3 linked regions of the Caenorhabditis elegans genome follow. The protein of the gene in region 1 interacts with the protein of each later gene in a biochemical or structural test. Each region holds a gene or a part of one and is shown in the gene's direction. Other genes may lie near its edges.

The links. The genes of interacting proteins can lie anywhere in the genome.
Region 2: the proteins of flp-4 (region 1) and dmsr-1 interact in a test that uses a peptide from one of them, tested with the Caenorhabditis elegans proteins (one large-scale study listed by BioGRID).
Region 3: the proteins of flp-4 (region 1) and dmsr-7 interact in a test that uses a peptide from one of them, tested with the Caenorhabditis elegans proteins (one large-scale study listed by BioGRID).

Annotation. Positions count from the first base shown.
Region 1 is NC_003280.10:10,047,181-10,054,902, forward strand, and holds the start of flp-4 (FMRF-Like Peptide), read left to right. Parts: upstream 1-1,687; 5' UTR 1,688-1,871; intron 1,872-7,444; 5' UTR 7,445-7,458; coding exon 7,459-7,608; intron 7,609-7,659; coding exon 7,660-7,715; intron 7,716-7,722.
Region 2 is NC_003283.11:11,436,847-11,442,069, forward strand, and holds dmsr-1 (G-protein coupled receptor dmsr-1), read left to right. Parts: upstream 1-1,923; 5' UTR 1,924-1,971; coding exon 1,972-2,042; intron 2,043-2,321; coding exon 2,322-2,638; intron 2,639-2,689; coding exon 2,690-2,949; intron 2,950-3,244; coding exon 3,245-3,712; intron 3,713-4,093; coding exon 4,094-4,279; intron 4,280-4,340; coding exon 4,341-4,571; 3' UTR 4,572-4,718; downstream 4,719-5,223. UniProt on the Caenorhabditis elegans protein: G-protein coupled receptor.
Region 3 is NC_003283.11:5,403,794-5,408,891, forward strand, and holds dmsr-7 (G-protein coupled receptors family 1 profile domain-containing protein), read left to right. Parts: upstream 1-1,559; 5' UTR 1,560-1,576; coding exon 1,577-1,662; intron 1,663-1,729; coding exon 1,730-1,942; intron 1,943-2,797; coding exon 2,798-2,941; intron 2,942-3,137; coding exon 3,138-3,396; intron 3,397-3,444; coding exon 3,445-3,575; intron 3,576-3,623; coding exon 3,624-3,749; intron 3,750-3,960; coding exon 3,961-4,101; intron 4,102-4,165; coding exon 4,166-4,240; intron 4,241-4,290; coding exon 4,291-4,405; 3' UTR 4,406-4,593; downstream 4,594-5,098. Other genes in the region: C25A6.1 (Serine/threonine-protein phosphatase), read left to right, coding at 4,735-5,058.

The DNA of each region.
Region 1 (7,722 bases):
AAATAGAAATATAGTGAAAACATAGTGGCAAATGATATTGAATATGCTATAGACTTGGTAGAACACATTGAGTAGTTTGATGACTCGGACGTGAATAAGTAATTTGAAAAAAATAGCTTCCGCTGACTAAGCCCCTTTTAGAATTGCACAGCATTCTTTCAGATTTTCAATAATTTAATAATTTAAAATGACGATTTCGTCTTGTTTTGCACTACTTGTAGTATTTATAGTGCTTCCCAAATATCTTGAAATGTGTAATTGAAAGCCTGCGGGTTTAATAGAAAATTAAGCAGCATTTTTCTTTTTTTGTAGATGCTTTTCAATTTTTTTGGATTTTGTGGAGATGTTATGTTCTTTAATATTTATTCAAAAAAGGAGACAACTGGTAAAGTTAAATTTTTGCATCAAAACTTTTCCGAATAGATCTGTGGTCTTTTTTGGTAAATTGCCGAGTTTTGGAAAATTATAAAATTACCAAAGTTATTAGAAAAATAGTCCAATACGAACAATTTTTTTGATTTTTCATGCCCCAATCCGGAGCCCACACAAATACTTTTGAACTACATAACCATTTCCTCAATTTCCCCACGTACAAGTGGTTGCAAATTGTGCATTTCCTTCTCCTCCGAGCAGAAGATTGTTTGGATGAGTTGTCTGGATTATTTTTGGATCAGGAGCAATTTTCTGTTTATTAAAGAAAAGCGCAGAAAATAACACGAAAAAAAAGGCTTGATTTCTTGGTTCTTATTTTGTGCATGTTTTAGCGAAATTGCAAAATGTTGACCGATCTGATTTTCATAATTAGGAAAATGTTAAGACTTACTTATCTTTAGTGATTTCCCGAGACCTACGGATTCGGATTTTATTTTTGCAAAAAAGGAAAGTAAAATGAATAATTTCAATAATTCATTTAACTGTCTTTAAAAAATTTGAGCACTTGTTCCAATATTAAAAGTGTTCTATCATTTGCGGGGTTCCCAAAAAATCCTGCTATTGTTTTTTGTGGGATTTAAACTTTTTCAGCTCTTCAAATCAATAGGCTATTGGTGCATATATTGTCTTCTGACGTTTTTTTTCAGTTTCTATATAAAATTTTTGTACTTCCTTCTAATTTGACAGAATAATTCTAAAATCACATATTTGAACTGTGGGCGCTGAATTTTTTTGAAGAGCATGAATTTGAACCCGCAGCGACGGGTCTTTATTTTACAATACAGACGTTTTCCAAAGTTTCCCGGTTTTCCCCGAATATTCCAAAAGTTTCTAGAGTTTCTAGAAGGTTCTCAACCTTTCCTAAATTTTCTAAAATAAATTCGAAAGCCAACATCTACGCAAGATAATTTTTCAGTCGAACTACGGTAGTTTTCAATCAACTTTATCTAAAAATAGCCGAAAACCCCCATTACCTCCTAGTTTGGTATTCCAAAAGATCAAACTTATTGGGGTAGTTGGACCCCCATCCATCTTTTGGCACGTTTCATTCCCGAAGTTCCGTCATAAATTCGATGTCCCCCTCCACCTAATCATTGATTCGTCATGCCTTGTCAGACAAAACCCACGTCTTCAGCTTTTTGGTCGTACCACAATTTTTTCTCCAATGATTCCATCATCATTCCTCATTCCCCAGCTCGTAAAGAACTCAATAAAACTGTCCTCTTCTTCCTCAACCCATTCCTACTTATTCTACATATATTCCAACTTCCAGTGTCCATTCCATTCTCCTTTTTTGTGCTGTCTCCTTATTCTGTTTCCTTTTTTCCCCTATTCAACATCATTCCAGTCACATTCATTTGATTGCGCACTAGGCTCCGCCTGCTCACGCCTTTCTTCGCAAATTCATATTTGGATCTCAATATTTCCGCAAAAAATTGGTAGGTTTTTTTTCGCTTTGACATCAATAGATCTAGTTGACGTGAAAAGCAAACTGGCAAAAATGTTCTTTGAAATTCATGAAATTTGACAAAAAGTTTTGGTCTAACAGCAGTATCTTGAGGCCACAATGGAGCATAACCAGAAAACGTGGTGTATCTGACTGTTTTTTTTTCTGGAAAATCTTCAATTTTTTCGAGGAACTTCTTGAAGATTGTTGTTGTTTGGTTTAGTCTACGTGACCATTTGTAGCTGCCATAGTTATTTTCATTTTTCGTTTCAGAAATCGGAAATTGGTTTTGCTTGAAAACTAGCGAAAAGTGGGCGTCAAACGATTATTACTAAACACATATTGTTGATTAACTTCTAGAGTTTTTATTGGAGTATTTGACGTTAGCCATTGCAACGTCATTCATACAAGTATTTATATAAGACAATGTACATTTTTTCGTTCATAATTTTCTTGAGGTATGTCTAGTGTCTAGTGTATCAAATTTCTAGATATGTATTGTGGATCTAAATTTAGGGTATCTCCAAAGAGTTATACAAGGTTGTTTTCCAAATTAGCACCTCTAAATAATCGAACCTACATGATTTGAAATTGCTTTAAAAAAATTTTTTGTTTGAAAATTTACCAGTTTTTCAAAACATTTACTAAACATTTATTCAATACAGTAATGCATTTCAAAGCTTTTTATGACTTGAAAAAGCTATAGAGTACATAAATCTAAGCCCAAAAAAAAAACCGCAGACTTGTTTTTTATAAATTTAAAAAATCTTGAATTCAAAACACGTGTTCAATTTTGGCTTCTTACATGTATTGTTTTTAATAAATGTTCCGATGAAATCTGCAAGCCGATTTACTAGACTTACAAGAATAATTTCTGACTATTCATTGTTAATCTATAATCTTCTTATCATGTTACATATTATCTAGTTAGTCATTTTCTTGTCTTGTTCTGTTTTCAATTTCACTCATTTGCTCTCATATTTCTTTTTCCTGAATTGAACCTTGGACGCTCAAAAGCTAATCGAAGAAAAATTGCCGAGATTCGGGAATTTTGATTGATGTTGTCGAATTAGTTGTTGCTTGTTCGAAAGTGACAACATCAGACAAAAACACACACGGATTTTGAATTATTACCTATCCATGTTCCTTTGATTTTCTATTAAATTGTCCTTTAAGGTTTCAAAAATGTTCGGAAAACGTAGGTGTAACCTGAAGAGTTAGGAGGAACGTCTATTTATGGTCCATCCAAAAATAGTTGTTGTTATTCAATTTGCGGCACCGAATCTTCAGATATTCGAAAGTTAAGAAAAACAAGAAGTTAGCTTTTAGGACTGAAAGACAGCTTCCTGCAAAAATGTTCTTCTTTTTATGGAAACTTGAGAGCCAAGTTCAAAAGATGAAAAGTTAAGTGGGCGTCTTATTTGTGTGGGCAAAAGAAACTGTAAATACATTTTTAGATTTAGTATATATGCAGGACTACTTTTCTTTCTTGTTATAGTTCTTGTATAGCATCGTCGTATGCACGCACGTCTTCAGGAGTATGTTTTGTATTCATGTTTTTACAACTTTGGCAGTAGTCATGACATATTTCCAAGGAACGTAGGTTACCTTGAAGGCAGGCAGAATATTTTCAGCATAACATGGAAGATTTAAGTTGTTGTTGAATTACGTAGACAACAAAATAACATTTTGAGAGTTCTTTCTTTGCTAATTGTATTTACGTCTCCTATAAAAATTGAGCATAGAATAAGATCATTCGTTCAGATTTTCATGCTTCTTGGATCGACTTATAAGTGTACCTTTATATTACGGGCTACAGTAAAATTTCCTTCTTTTTAATTCAAAATCTTCATTCAAACATCTAGCTGCTACACAACAGGGGTGTGAATCAAGGGCTCGAAAACTGGAAATGCCTGATAAATATTTTGCAAATTTTAATATTCCGATTTGGAAGTCGCGTAGTAAAATGGTTTTCAAGGAGCTTCGAGGTCTTCAAATGTTCTTTTTTTTTAGAATTTCAAGCTTTCACGCACTTGATTTACACTCCTGCTCCCTGACTCCATGACTGTTTGATGAGCTCTTTTGAACTTTAGTGGTTTCTGGCTTCTTCAATAGTCCAGACGTAATAAAAAGTGTCCTTCTTTAGAAAATTAAAAGTTGGAATACTTTCCTTAAAACTATGGGAGAAACTTCTCTTACTCTGAGAATTAAGAAACTGTTTATCACTATTTAAAATTCCAGTTGAAGCATCGTGATCACAAAACTCAGAGCTTTACCACAAATCCAGAAAACAGAAAAGAGTTCTTGAAAATTATAAAATCTTTACGTGGGAATCTGAATACGTAGAGAGCTCTGGAAATTTACTTCCAGATAGGAATTTCTATCATTACACCGGGAAAAATATATCAAAGAACCACCATATTTTTTTATAAAACTCTTCAAAATGTAGTACGTGACTGTAGCCCAACTACTCAATTAATTCCAATTGCGTCATTTTTCCAAAAAGGCATTTCTCAAAATTTTCTCAGGATTTTCCTTTTCAATCCATCATATTTTCCAATTATTCTCAGATCAAACCACGCACCATGACAATTTTTCCACATTTTCCAATCCAATTTTTAATCAAACTGATTCTGATAACTCATATCACACCTAATAAAGTAATTCTACACCACGAGTTTGTACGCACAAATCTACAAATTGTGACCAATATCCAGTGAATTTCTTAGTATTTTTGCATGCATTTTTAAGCACCTCCAACTGTTCTTCACATTTCTTATTATTCCGTTCTTTTTCTTTTTTCTCTGCTGGGACACATTTTCAGCGCCGTGTGACGTCATATAATTCATTGAAATTTTAGAGTTTCAATGTGGTATTAGAATTAAATGTATTTTTGCTGTACAAAGAATATTCATTTTCAAAATACTTATTAGGTTTCATTATGCCACACTACCTGACTGATCATCTGTTACAGTTACCTATGTGATGAGTTTTCGTGATAGAAAATCCGGAAAAAGACACGGATGTGATTTTTGACTATGCTTAATCCTGAGAGACATCCATTATCGCAAACAATAGAACCTAAAAGAAAAATTAGAGTTTAAGATAAATGTTAAGGTTATTCAAAAAATAGACTTTTGATCTTATTTGAAATGGCATGCGGAAGAAACTATGAATGAACGAAGTTTATGACAAAGATCTGAATCCTACGCAGTACGATAATTTTCCTGAACGAAAAACAGTAGAAAGCTTTCAAATGAAGAACATCCAAGCACATACTGTTCGCGTTATTTTACTTTGAAATGATCTCTAAAGGCCCCCAAAATGCTTACCTGCGTGCCTCTTGGACATTTTGTGATAGTTTCGATGATATGTATTTTTGTGCCTATGAATAGGCTAGGTGATAGATTTCCTTGTTTTAAGACAAACACTTCCAGCAAGCTTTTGAAACTAGACTAAACTTATCACAATTCTAATTTTATTCCTAAGATCGCATTGTCAATTCACTTTCCGAAGATCATCTCGTCCATTAAAAGATTATTCTTTTTCACAGTGTAACCTAAACCTTGATTCATTAAAACATGAAAATGTAAGCAATAGATTAATATTAATCCTAATCTTAGACTAAAGTCTGATATGTGTCGTAATAATACCCCTTTGGTATTTAGTTAAGGTTTTTTGAACTGAAGGTTTAAGTATAAATACCTAAGAAATCCACTCTTACAACATTAGTTTCAGCTTTTGAATTTGGCAAAGTGGTGAGTTCAACTTTTGACTCTGTCTTATTCATTAGAAGTTTTATTCTCCATTTTGAAAATCTATCAGCTTCTGAAATCTTATCAAAATCACTGAATTCCAGCAATTATGGAGATCAATTGACAATCTACATACATGAATAGGTAGGCATTTTTTGCCTACACTCAACAAAGTTTATGACCACGTTCGAGACAGTAAATAGGTGATTTACTAATTGAAGTTAACCCGTCACTACCGTAACCCTAGAGACCAATAGATATAGACACAAACTAAAAACCAAAGGATTATATTTCATTGAAAACCAAAACGTCTGTAATAATTTCTTTAGACACATAAAAGAAGCTCGACTAAAAAATATTAGTTATTTTAGAAGCTTAAGTCTATAATTAATCCCTTCCGAGGAGGTTAATGTGAGTTTGAAGTTTTAATAAGGATCTTTTATAAATTCGTATTGTTTACAAACTTATAATTTTTGATCCATCGGATAACAGAACATGGATTCAACGCATAATATCTGAAATTGACAAGTTTGAAAAATTTGGCTGGCTCTAAAGATTTAGTTCTGGTGTTTTTTCCAGCTATCCTTTAAGCTTCAGAAATTTGTTTGGAGAACCATTGATTTTTGTTTAAATTTCATAGAACTACTTCTAACGGACCACCAGCATAATTTTGAACCCTTGACGTCAGACCACACCCACATTTCCTTCTTTTCCAACAGAAATTATGCAAAATTTGAAAGTTCAAGAGACTTCACCACTCAAATGCTCATATCGGGTGTCCAATCAGCTCGTATAATGTTCAGAATAGTTCTCATGTTTCATTACTTATTATAAAAAAGGTCTTTCGGTCTTTCACTTCTTACGTGGGGGCTCAATGTCTTCCAGGAATCGGGCGCACCGGTCTTGATGTTCTCCGAGATATTTCTTTGCATTATTGATACGTTTTTTTAAATTTTCTTTCTTCTCTCTTTGACGTGCGTTTTTGTGTCATTGGATATTTAAATAAAATATTACGATTAGCCAATAAATAGTATTTACCGTATTTTTAATTAGTCCCAGGGTGAACAGTATAAGAGAATAATTGAAAACTTTTTAATCAACTCAATGATAATTTAGAATAATCCCGATCAATTTTCAATCTCCAACCTTTTCCGAAAACTATTCCACACGCCTCATTGCAGATGTTTTTTTTTGAGAATTGAACCAAAATGTCTAGATAACAAAAATCAGCTTGCACAGGAAATATTTAGCACGTCAAAGTTTTCAAAAATTACGTCAAAATGTTGAAGATGCGTCAGTTGAGAAACATTGGTGATTGAGTTTTTGAATAAAAGGCTTGAAGTTTGTGAAAACGGATGTGCGTTTTTGTTTTTTAGGAAACCTATCACTTTTAGACACCAGTGAAATGTTATTTCCTCTATTTTTGGAGAATTATTGAAGTACAATTGTTTCATGGTATTTTCCAACTGAACGTCAATTTTTTTTTAAACAGGTAAACCAGAAATGCCAAAAAAGCAACCAAAAAAAGTGTTCGAATTTCGTTTTCAGGCGAAACAAAAATTAAAAAATTTTGAGCTGGGTGCGGCCAAACTTTGGGCAATCCCGGTTTATTCACCCTTTGTTTAAGTTAATATTGATAAATTACTTGTCCTCTAATTTTTTAATCCAACCATTATCAACGTCACACTGACTCCACCCCTTTATCAATTGTTCTCCGTTTCTTTTAAAAGCACCTGCTCAACCTTTTCGTCGCATAATTTTCCGCTTCAAGCTCCCCCTTCCCCTTCTTCATTATTTCTGCAATTTTCAGACAACTACAGCGACATGAACGCCTTCTCCTCTTCCCTTAAAACATTCATCTTCTCCTTGCTTTTTGCCACGTTGCTTGCACTCACAGCAGCTCATCCACCGTCATCTGGTGAAGAAATTGCTGAGCAAGAAGAGAAGAATATTGCAAGTCCAGATGAACTTATTGTAAGATTTTTAAAAATTGAGAAAAGTTATAAAAATAAATGAATGTTTCAGCCGGAAATTGTCGAGCAGCAAAACTTCTGGCCACCAGTGCATCTTCGTGGATTACGGTAAGTA
Region 2 (5,223 bases), on another chromosome or scaffold:
ACATCCGTCGGTTTTTTTATTTGGCCCCGTACCTTCCATCTTTTTCTCCGAGTTTGATACTTCTTGTGGGTACTTTTTGTACTCTCACTCGTATCATACTTCTTGATAGGTCTTCTCAACTATCAACTTGTTTACAAGTTTGTAATATTTTTAGAATTTTCTGTTCTGTAAATATGTTTACATGTTGTTGGATTTTGATGTTTTAAGTATAAAGGATTTGATTGCATTGTGGAAACTTTTGGCGTTGCATTTTAAAGTTCGACGTCACAAAAAATAATTTTAAAAAGTAAAATAAGAGAAGTTATAATAATCCTTATTTTTCAGCTATTTTTCAATACAATTTAATACACAAAAATGATTTAACAAGCAATATAGGAAAATCCGACCTAACCGGACTTCCATCATTTTCCTTCCCCTAACTCAAAAGTAATTATGCTTAAAATTTTCAATACTTGGGATATGTTTGCCAGTGGAGTTTGATCTTGTACCTTTTACTTTTTTATCGTAACTTCAAACCGAATTCCGGCAAATATTTTCATTTTCAGCATAAACTTTTGTCGTTTTCTTTAATGATAAGTGCGAAAAATTCCTCTGGCACGAGAGTCAGCTCAATGAGTTTTTTTCCTGAAGTGACTCCGGAAATGGGTGCTCACCTGACATGTGGTCACGGATCAACACATGACTAACTTTGGAAATATCTATCCAAACCTTATCCGCTCTGTAATTAGAGTTGGAGCGCGCTAGGCCGCCTCACACACTTCCGAGCGCTGACCGAAATTTGGTTATATTCTGATGTTATTTTTTGTCGGGGAGAGATGCGTTGCACCCCGCTCTGCGTTTATCTGTCCGTGCTCAACATAAAAAAGGTTCTTTTTTTTGAGTAAAAAAGCAACAAATTCCGCCCATGCTTAGATACTGGGCCCATCATGGCGGCGAACGGAAGGACTAGGAAGCGAGGCTTGTTTTGAGTTTCTTTTAGTGATCGAATAGCGGTTGGAAGTAGATACGGATATTGCACATATATATATATATATATATATATATATATATATATATATATGTGTGTGTTTTGAAGTGAAGAGACAGTGAAATAGTGACAAAAAGCTGTTGAGATATCCATTTAGGTTTTTGAATTTTCTATTTTTCAAAATGCGTAACGTTTATGGTTTTTAATGACGTGATGTCTCTCTGAAATAGCGGGCATTTAAAAACAACTCTTCTTCCAAGTGATAGAAAAAGAAATAATTATCAATTTATTTTTCCAAGTGCCTGGAATTTGTGACATTTTCTTTGTAATCGAATACATGCTCAATTGCCGAAATTGTGTAGCGGCAAAAAAATTAATCAAAAAACGAATGTGAATATGAATTTGGTATAGTGCATATCAATTTTTCCGAAAATTTGTGTACTTTTGAATGTATTAATCTTGTTCAGTTTATGCAAATTATTCCTTCTGAAGTTCATTCAAAACTTTTTGGCTCTCTTTTTTCAATTGTACTCTTAATTTTCCCAGTAAAAAAATCATTAAACTTCCTGTGCTATTTTTATTTTTATATTTTCTGATTTTGCAACTCCTTCAATTTCTGAATAATGATTTCTTTAAGGAAGTTTTATCTGCAAGATCTCCCTAATTGGCAATAATTGGTGTTTATCTTAGATTTTTGAGCAAAAGCTTGCAGTATATTTTTGTTAGTTTTTTTGTTCCAAAAAAACACACTCACCCTATTATTTGAGTGTTTTTGTTTTAAAAAGTGAATGAGCAATGTGTTGCCAAATCTTTGTCCCTTTTGTCATTTTTTTCATAGTCATCTCTCATTTCTAATGACGTTTTCCGGTTTTCCGAATCGGAGCCGTTTTTCATTTGAACGCTTGTTTTCCTCATTTTCAACGTTTCAATATTAATAAATTGTTGTTTTTTTTCAGATGTTCAAATAGAATCAGAAACAATAGAACAGAGGAACAGCAAACAAAATGGAGTTTACCGAATGCAAAACTACATTTATTCATCTGCCCGATAAAAGTTTTTTATACGATGTTTTTGTGTAAGTTTTACTTTTGTGTCTCAAAAATCTTTCAAATAATTGCCCAGTACTGTTGTATTTGACGTATTTTCAAAAAGTACAGTTTATCATCATTAAAAGTTATCCTATTATTTGTAGAAATCATCCCTAAAAATAGCGAATAAAACCAAGTTATTGAAGAAGGTTATCTTATCTTAAATTATTGTGTCCTCAAAAGTGATGACCATAAAAAAGAGAGCCATTAATAAATATTTCAAGAGCAAAAGTGGAAAAAAGTGAAATTAAACGTTTTTTTTTCAGAAGTGTATATAATTTCTACCATCCTATACATGCCTACTTATCAATATTTCTATGCGTGTTGGGTACAATCGCTAATTTCTGTAACATCGTCGTACTAACGAGACGAACAATGCGAACGCCAGTTAATATGATTTTGACAGCAATGGCATCTTGTGATACAGTTGTGTTATTTTCAAATTTAATATACACAACACATTACTCATTTGTCGCTTTCAAGTTTTGTCATCCGAAACATTGGTCCTACTCTTGGGCGTTATTTTTAATTGCTCATGCTCATCTTTCATTAGTTGCACATTCTTCAAGTGTTTGGTTGTCAGGTAAGCTTTTCATTCTGAAGACAACTGTCCAACTCTTCGATTTTATTGCAGTTATGCTTGCACTTGTTCGATATGTAACACTTCGAAGTAGGGGAAATATGGGTGGTATGCAAGTGACGTTAAGGCATTCTTATTATGCCGTTGCTGTTACTGTATCCCTTGTAGCAGTGCTTAATGCACCGAATTTTCTGAATTACAAAATCAATGAACAGCCATTGAATGAAACGTGTACCGATTTGGATCCAATGTTCTGGAATTCGCCCGCGTATCTTCCTGGAATTGCAGACATTGCAAAAGCAAACAGCTGTCTGGTAAGATTTTTGAATTTCAGTAAAAAAAAAACAAGATTTTTGTTAAAAAATAATGTTTGACAAATTGTATACAAACAAAATTTCTCGAAAAACTTTTTTATTGGAACTTAGATTTATAAACTAAAAATTTTGGCAAGATCATCATAATATAACTTTGAAGCTTTGGATTTATATAAACCTTTTTGGAAATAATTGATCGATCATATGTACATATGATATCATGAAAATTATACAAAATAATATTTATCATCGTGATCGTCACCCTAGCAAAAACCAATTTCCTAATTTCCTGCAGGTCTTCCGGTTATCTTATTGGATATCCGGTATGGTATTCAAAGTATTACCATGTGCGCTTCTATCGTTGTTTGTTTGGCTCCTTTTACGAATTCTTCGTGAAGTGCGTGAGAATCGTCAACGTCTTCTCAAGAACTCGCAACATCGACCACCGAATCAAACGACTACTCGAAACGGACAAAGACTGAGCATTTCAGTTGCAGGCAACGAGAAATTAGGCAGAAATGGAAGCTTACGGGGGAGAGGAGAACGTGTCGATCGGACAACTCATATGTTATTGGCAATTGTAGCAGTTATGCTAGTGACTGAATTACCTCAAGGAATTATGGCTGTCTTGTCTGGAATGTGTTCTGAAGAATTCCGAATTTACATTTATAACAATCTGGGAGACATTCTCGATTTGTTCTCACTTTGCGGTTCATGTTGTTCATTCATCATTTACTGCTCAATGAGTGGACAGTTCAGAAATGTAAGTTTTGATATTACTTGAAAAAAATTTCAATGAGCGACATCTTTTCAAAATACCTCAATGAAAAATGTGTTGTATGCTGTTAGAAAATACTACAAACTTTCTCAACATTCGGTGGAACTTTCCAAGCGAATTTGTCTTTTTTTTCTTTGTTTTCTTACTAACATGATGTTCGGCAGCGTCTTAAAATGCGCTTAAGATCTCTACATTTTCCGACAATTGCGGAGTTGTTTTTACAAGAAAAATCATGGAAGTACATACTTTGCTCATTTTATGAATGTGTGTTTAGTTCATTTTAACACAGGGAACAAGCATTTTCATTTGATTTCTATAAATAAAAATTGGTTCATTTTCAATATAGAAAAATCATAAAATTTTTAGGAATTCCACCGTGTCTTTGTACCTGCAAAGGTGAGATGTCTCCGAATGTCATCGCCGTCGATTCGTCGTCCATCCGACGCCTACAGTACCACAAAAATGACTTTTCTAAAACCAAACGAGAAAAACGGAAATGGAATGAATGGAAATGGCACTTATTCGGAAGATACAAGGTCAGCAAGTGTTAAAGTAAGAATATCAACACATGTTTTTTCTACAAAACTTTTGAATAAGCCATGTTAATTTTCAGATGGTCGGAATCCAGGTACGAAGAAACAGTACGGAAATAACGAGAATGACTGGATGTGATTCAATTACTCCATGTTCTCCAATGCCAACATCATTTCCATCATCCCCACTTCCACCGATTCGAAGTGGAGAAGATGAATCCACTGATGAGACATCACATCTACTTAACAGCTCAGGACCCAACTCAACAGCCAGTGCTGATGGAATTCGTGGACACTTTCAAAACATTTGATATCAGAATTTTTTAAACACACAAATTGCAACACGTGTCAGAACAAAACCATTAGTATTTACCATATTCACGGGTTTCTATTTCAATTTTCTGATTACGTTGATTTCTTCTTAAGCGTGTCCTATTAATGAATCTTGTTTTTTATTAGTAACATACTTTTTTTTTAAATCTTTAAACTTTTCAGAATTGAAAAAAAAAATAAAGTAATTGTTCAGAAATTAAAATTCTTTCAATTTGCATATTGAGGTTATTGATTTATGTATATGACAACCTTTTATGAATGAAAATTGCAGAATTGGGAATATTGTATCCTCGGAGAACTTCAAACTAGCTCCCATAGTAGGTAGACATAGATTGATTTTCATAAGCATTTTTCTGGTTTAAATGAATTTTTTATCATGCCATCACAAAAATATTGATGGCAAACATGACAGTCGTATGTCACCGTGTAATTAAAACACTTACTTAAAAAGGATAATCTTCCAACTTGTAAAAATGTTTCGGCATAGCAATCTTTTATTTGTCAATGGAAAGTAATAGCTAGAGATCAATTAACCGACAAAGTTACCGGGTGCCGAAATGAAAGAGAAAAAAACAGAAAAGCTGACTATAATGAAAGCATCAAGTGGGGGAGAAAAGTAGAAGAAAACGC
Region 3 (5,098 bases), on another chromosome or scaffold:
TCCTCCTTTTTGCTCGTCACTTTGAAAATAATGCAGTCTCGTCACTGCTTTTCAAGCACTAGAAGCTGCTTGAACTGCAAATTGAATTTGAGGAGAAGCTTCGCCATTTTGTTTCGAGTAAAAAAGACAATGAACACGTTACGTGCGCAATCCACCATTGGTAGCGCCTCTCCTTCCTCCAGTTTTTGCCCCTTTTCAGCTTTTTTCCTGCATTTTTCTCATTTCTCCCCCAATTAGGCTCTCTGCATTTTAAGGTGTTAGAGAATTAGCTAGGTCACTCTTTTGATTTCTTGAAACAAAGATGAAATGTTCAGTGGTCAATAGTCAATAGGCACATCACTTCAATTCCCAAGGGACTTGAGCTTTCTTTCTTCCCCTTTTGACTGCGCCTGCGCCCCTAAACTTTTTTTTTCCACGTTTTCCTTATTCATAAGTCGTGAGAATATTCGATTTTCCGATTCATCTTCTCTGGAAGATGAATTCATTAACTTTGAATGCCACATTTCTGTCTCGAAATCCATTCTGTTTCAAATGTTTCGGTGTGTGTGAAGCAGCACCACACAACAAACATTTTCACAAGATGGCCCCCTGATTTTATATGTTTTATGGTGGCATGAAATACCAAAGTTTAAAACTTTTATACTTAACTAATAAGTTTCTGTTCTAGGTAGGACTAACATGGTAGGCAGGCGCATAAAATTTGAAAGCAATAAATTTGAATTTCGATTAATTTGATGAAAAGCAGGTGGACCTAACTTTGAAGTCCGGCAGGTAGGCAGTCGTTTGGCGCCTACCTAGAAGCCCTAGATCTAGGTTACATGTTCACAAGAAACAGAAAGTTGAGCGAAAGATTAAACATTCACGAACGAGTGTGCTTCACAATTATAATCATCGCAATTATAAAACTGCTGAAAAATATGCTTACTATGTTTTAAAAGACTAGTCTTGCCAAGATAAGTTGGCAGGCATGCCTACATGCCTACCAATTATTTTGTGCATTTTCAAGATCTGCTGAAATCGAAAAAAATTATTTTAAAATGTTTTAAACCCAAATAATAAATATTTTGATAAATATGGCTCTCTTTTACGGTTTCGAGTGTCATTTTTTTTTAAACATGCAAAATTTACAAAAGAATTTACGCGTTTTTTGCAATTTTTCGCTCACTTTGTTTTCGAAAACAAACAAATCTACCGCCCTGGCCGGCAAAAAAATAGGTTTTTTGGTTTTTTTTACTCTAGGAAATAGTTTTTAAAAAATAAAAATCTTCAATCAAAGATTTTTACAATTTTTCAAAGTATTTTCCTGCTATAGAAATAACAACTCACGGAACAAAAATAACTTCCGGCCAGTGACCTATAATTTTGTAAATTTTTTGAAAAACGAAATTATATATTTTGTTCGAAAACTCGATCAGCTTCTTCCACAACAACCGACTGTCATCTAAAAGTTCAAAAAACACAGAACGCATTCCACCCTGTTGCTCTTGGCTTCTTCTGATTTTCTCCTTATGTTTCTTTGTTTCAATGGTCTTTAAAAACCCCTTAAATTTTCAACATTTTGAAGGATGTGCTAGATATGGAATGTCCGCACGATGCTCAGTTGTTTGATCCGAACAGTAACAGTACGCAGGCATTTCTTCGGAAACTTGCACATTTTCAAAGGTTTGTTAAACTATTTTTTGTGCACTTCTTTCAAAAAAAGAAAAATGAACCAATGATTAATTGTCAGATGGTACCAGCCAATTCACGGATATGTATGTGTGCTCATCTGCGTTTTTGGTATCTTCACCAATTTTGTGCATGTGGCAGTTTTATCGAGACCCAACATGCGCAATTCGGCCGTCAACTGCATACTGACAGCAGTGGCTGTCTGTGATATCGGAACAATGGCATCCTATCTCATTTATATTATACATTTTGTCTTACGACGAAATAATTCCTGGTAATTCTTGTGTGTTTATTGGGTGGAAATGTTTTTGTTTTGGGAAATGGAGCGGCGTGGCGGCTTTTGAGTAGGAACATCAACAAATATGGAATTTTTGGAAAAATAACACAAGCTTTAAAATATTTATTTTCTGGTTTTTCCTATTCCAATTTTATGGTGAATTGCAAAACCCGGAAAATGTCGGTCACTTCATAAAAAGGATGTAGAGTTCGAAGGCGCTGATTGGTTTAAAAATAGTCATGGCTTCTCATTTTGGAAAAATTCAAATATGAAAATTCGCAATTTCAAAAATTGGACATTTTTAAATCTTTCTCGATTTTTTAAGTTTCCTTTTTTTTTGATTATGCAGCATATATTTGAATATTTCGAATACTTTGAAACAAAATCCTTATTTTCCAAACTCTACCTCAAACCATTAATAACAAGAATTCAAACTAAGTGTGCTCTTTCTATTGAAAATTTTGAAGGATATTTATATTCTTCTATTTTTCCACTCAAGTATCAACACACACACACAAAAAAACATCCTCAAAGTAATAATGGAATTTCAAAAGTTGAATGCCCATGTTCGTCACTTGCTGCACTTAATTGAAGAGGCATAGAATTTTAGTTGAACCTGGAACTATTTATTTCCTCCTATCCGTTTTATGTGCATCAAAACATGAAAACAACTGCATATTTTATTGATCATAGGAAATTTTGAAAATCGTCACAAAGCTACAAACTACGTGTATTCATAAATAACAAAAGTGAATTCAAGATGAAAAGTCGCTCGTAAAATGATACTGAAAAACACGAAAACAAGCGTTTGCAATGAAACTCAATAATTTTTATTATTAGATTTTATTACAGCACTCCAACGTTCACTCATTCTTGGTTACAATTCCTATTGTGGCATGTTGTTTTGAGCATCACACTACACACAACTTCTTTATGGCTCGCTGTGGCGATGGCGTTCATTCGGAGGATGACATTAAGGGTTACCGCTTTGAATAGGTATGCTGGGAGCAAAGTTTAAGGGACTAACATTTTTTTATACACTAAGATGAACAAGTTTTGTAATGAAAGTTTTCAAAATTTTTTTCAAACAATGGTAGGTATCCAAAAATATTTAAAATTGAAATTTTACAAAGACATTGCAAGCAATATACCCAGAAACGTTGGCCCCCTTAAAAAATCTGGAAATTTTCAGTCAATGGCAACGACCAAAGTTCGCATGGAAGTTGTGCCTGGGAATCTATATGGTCGTATTTGTACTTTGTATTCCAAATATGCTGGTCCACGAAATCGCCCGTGTAGAAGGAAATGACTGGCGACCTGGCAAAACGTGTCAAAAATTTGCATCGAACTACTCTGAACCGGTGTACACTTTTATGGTCAGCCACGCGGCGACTATCAACAATTGCCGGTTGTTTAAATGGAATATTTGGATGATTGGAATTCTGTTCAAGGTTAGCGAGTACGCGAGTTATCAAATTAAACGTCCTACCAGTTTTCAGATCATTCCATGTATTCTGCTAATTTTCTTGTCTTTCGGCCTTGTATCAAAGATTAGAGACGCAGAAAAGCATCGGAGGAAACTAACGAGTGTTCCGTCAAATGCATCAACAGATTCAAAACCATTGAAAAAGTATAGTCAACTCTCAAAGAACTTTTATGACAAAATGGAAATTTTCAGAAAGAATGGAACATCAGATAGAACCACATTGATGCTTGTTGTTATTTTATTGGTATTTTTAATAACGGAGTTTCCACAAGGAATCATCTCGATTCTTTGCGCAATTTTTACTACAGACGTTCATAGGTAAGATTTGATGTTTAACTAGAAATTTGGCCTGGAAAAACTGAAATCGAACTGCCCCAAGCTTGACCCAATTTTTCTTGAGTCATTTGAATTTTTGGAAATTTGGGTGCAGGCTGAGTCTTGCAAAAGTGTTGCTAAATTTTTGTTGGCCCAATTAAAGCTAAAATTGGGCGCTAAAGAAGTTTTCGAAAAATTAAATTTTCCATTTCAGATACCTCTATTTCTACATTGGTGATGTTCTTGATCTCCTATCGCTTGTCAATTCCTCTGTAAATTTTGTTTTATATTGTGTGATGTCTTCAAGATACCGGCAGACGTTTTGGGAAGTTATCATTCCTTCGTGGGCTTGTGGGTAAGTTCATTCTTATTGAACCAGTTCCTGTTACAGTAGTCTAAAATAAAATTTTTCCTCTCAGATTGTGGACGACCCGTCGTGGTTCTCCGACGGAACTTTCACAGCTTCAGTTGAACAACAGCTTACGACTAGGAAGGTCAGTTAATTTGTTTTTGAAGTCTGGAAAATATTATCTTTAATTTGCAGAAAACAAAGCTATACGCCACTGGCAACTGAACCGGAACCAGCACGCAATGAGTATTGGCGGTATGAAGCTTCCGTGTCGGACAATCAGAACAGCAGTAGAGAACATCAACTTTAAATTCCAATTTTTTCGATCTCGGTACAAATTCCCTTTGCAGATTTTTTGTGATATCTTGCTCATTTTCATAGCTTTCGCATTTTCTATTCTATTCTTGTTACGGGTACTTTTTGTTTTTTATTAATTCAGTTTTTATATAAATCAATATGGTTTACAAAATTATTAAATTATTCACGGCGCCGTGAAAAAAAAATTGTTTACAAAAAGACACGTAGATGTGAGTAAAACTAGGAAAAAAAATTATTTTCAATTGAAAGTGATTTCCGAAAGGTGAGTTCTCTTTTTCTCTTCCAGGAATCAAAAGTTAAAAAGGTTTGATGTTTTAGATTATGAAAGACGACGTCGTTGACAACATAATAATTGATGTCCTGAGCGCTAGTACTCACGAAAAGCTACTTTCCGAAGTGATCACGGAAGGACGAGTTCTAAAGCTTCTCGATTTGGCACTGGATGTATTTAAAAGACAGAAATCAATGGTTGAAATGAATGCTCCGATAAAGGTGTGCGGTGACATCCATGGACAATTCCCGGATCTTCTTCGTCTCTTCCATCGTGGTGGATGGCCGCCGACTGCGAATTATTTATTCCTTGGTGACTATGTGGACCGTGGAAGATTTAGCATTGAAACCATTGTTCTTCTTCTCGCTTATAAGGTTTGTTGCTTTAAGTTTTGCAAAAAGAAGCTAGGATCAA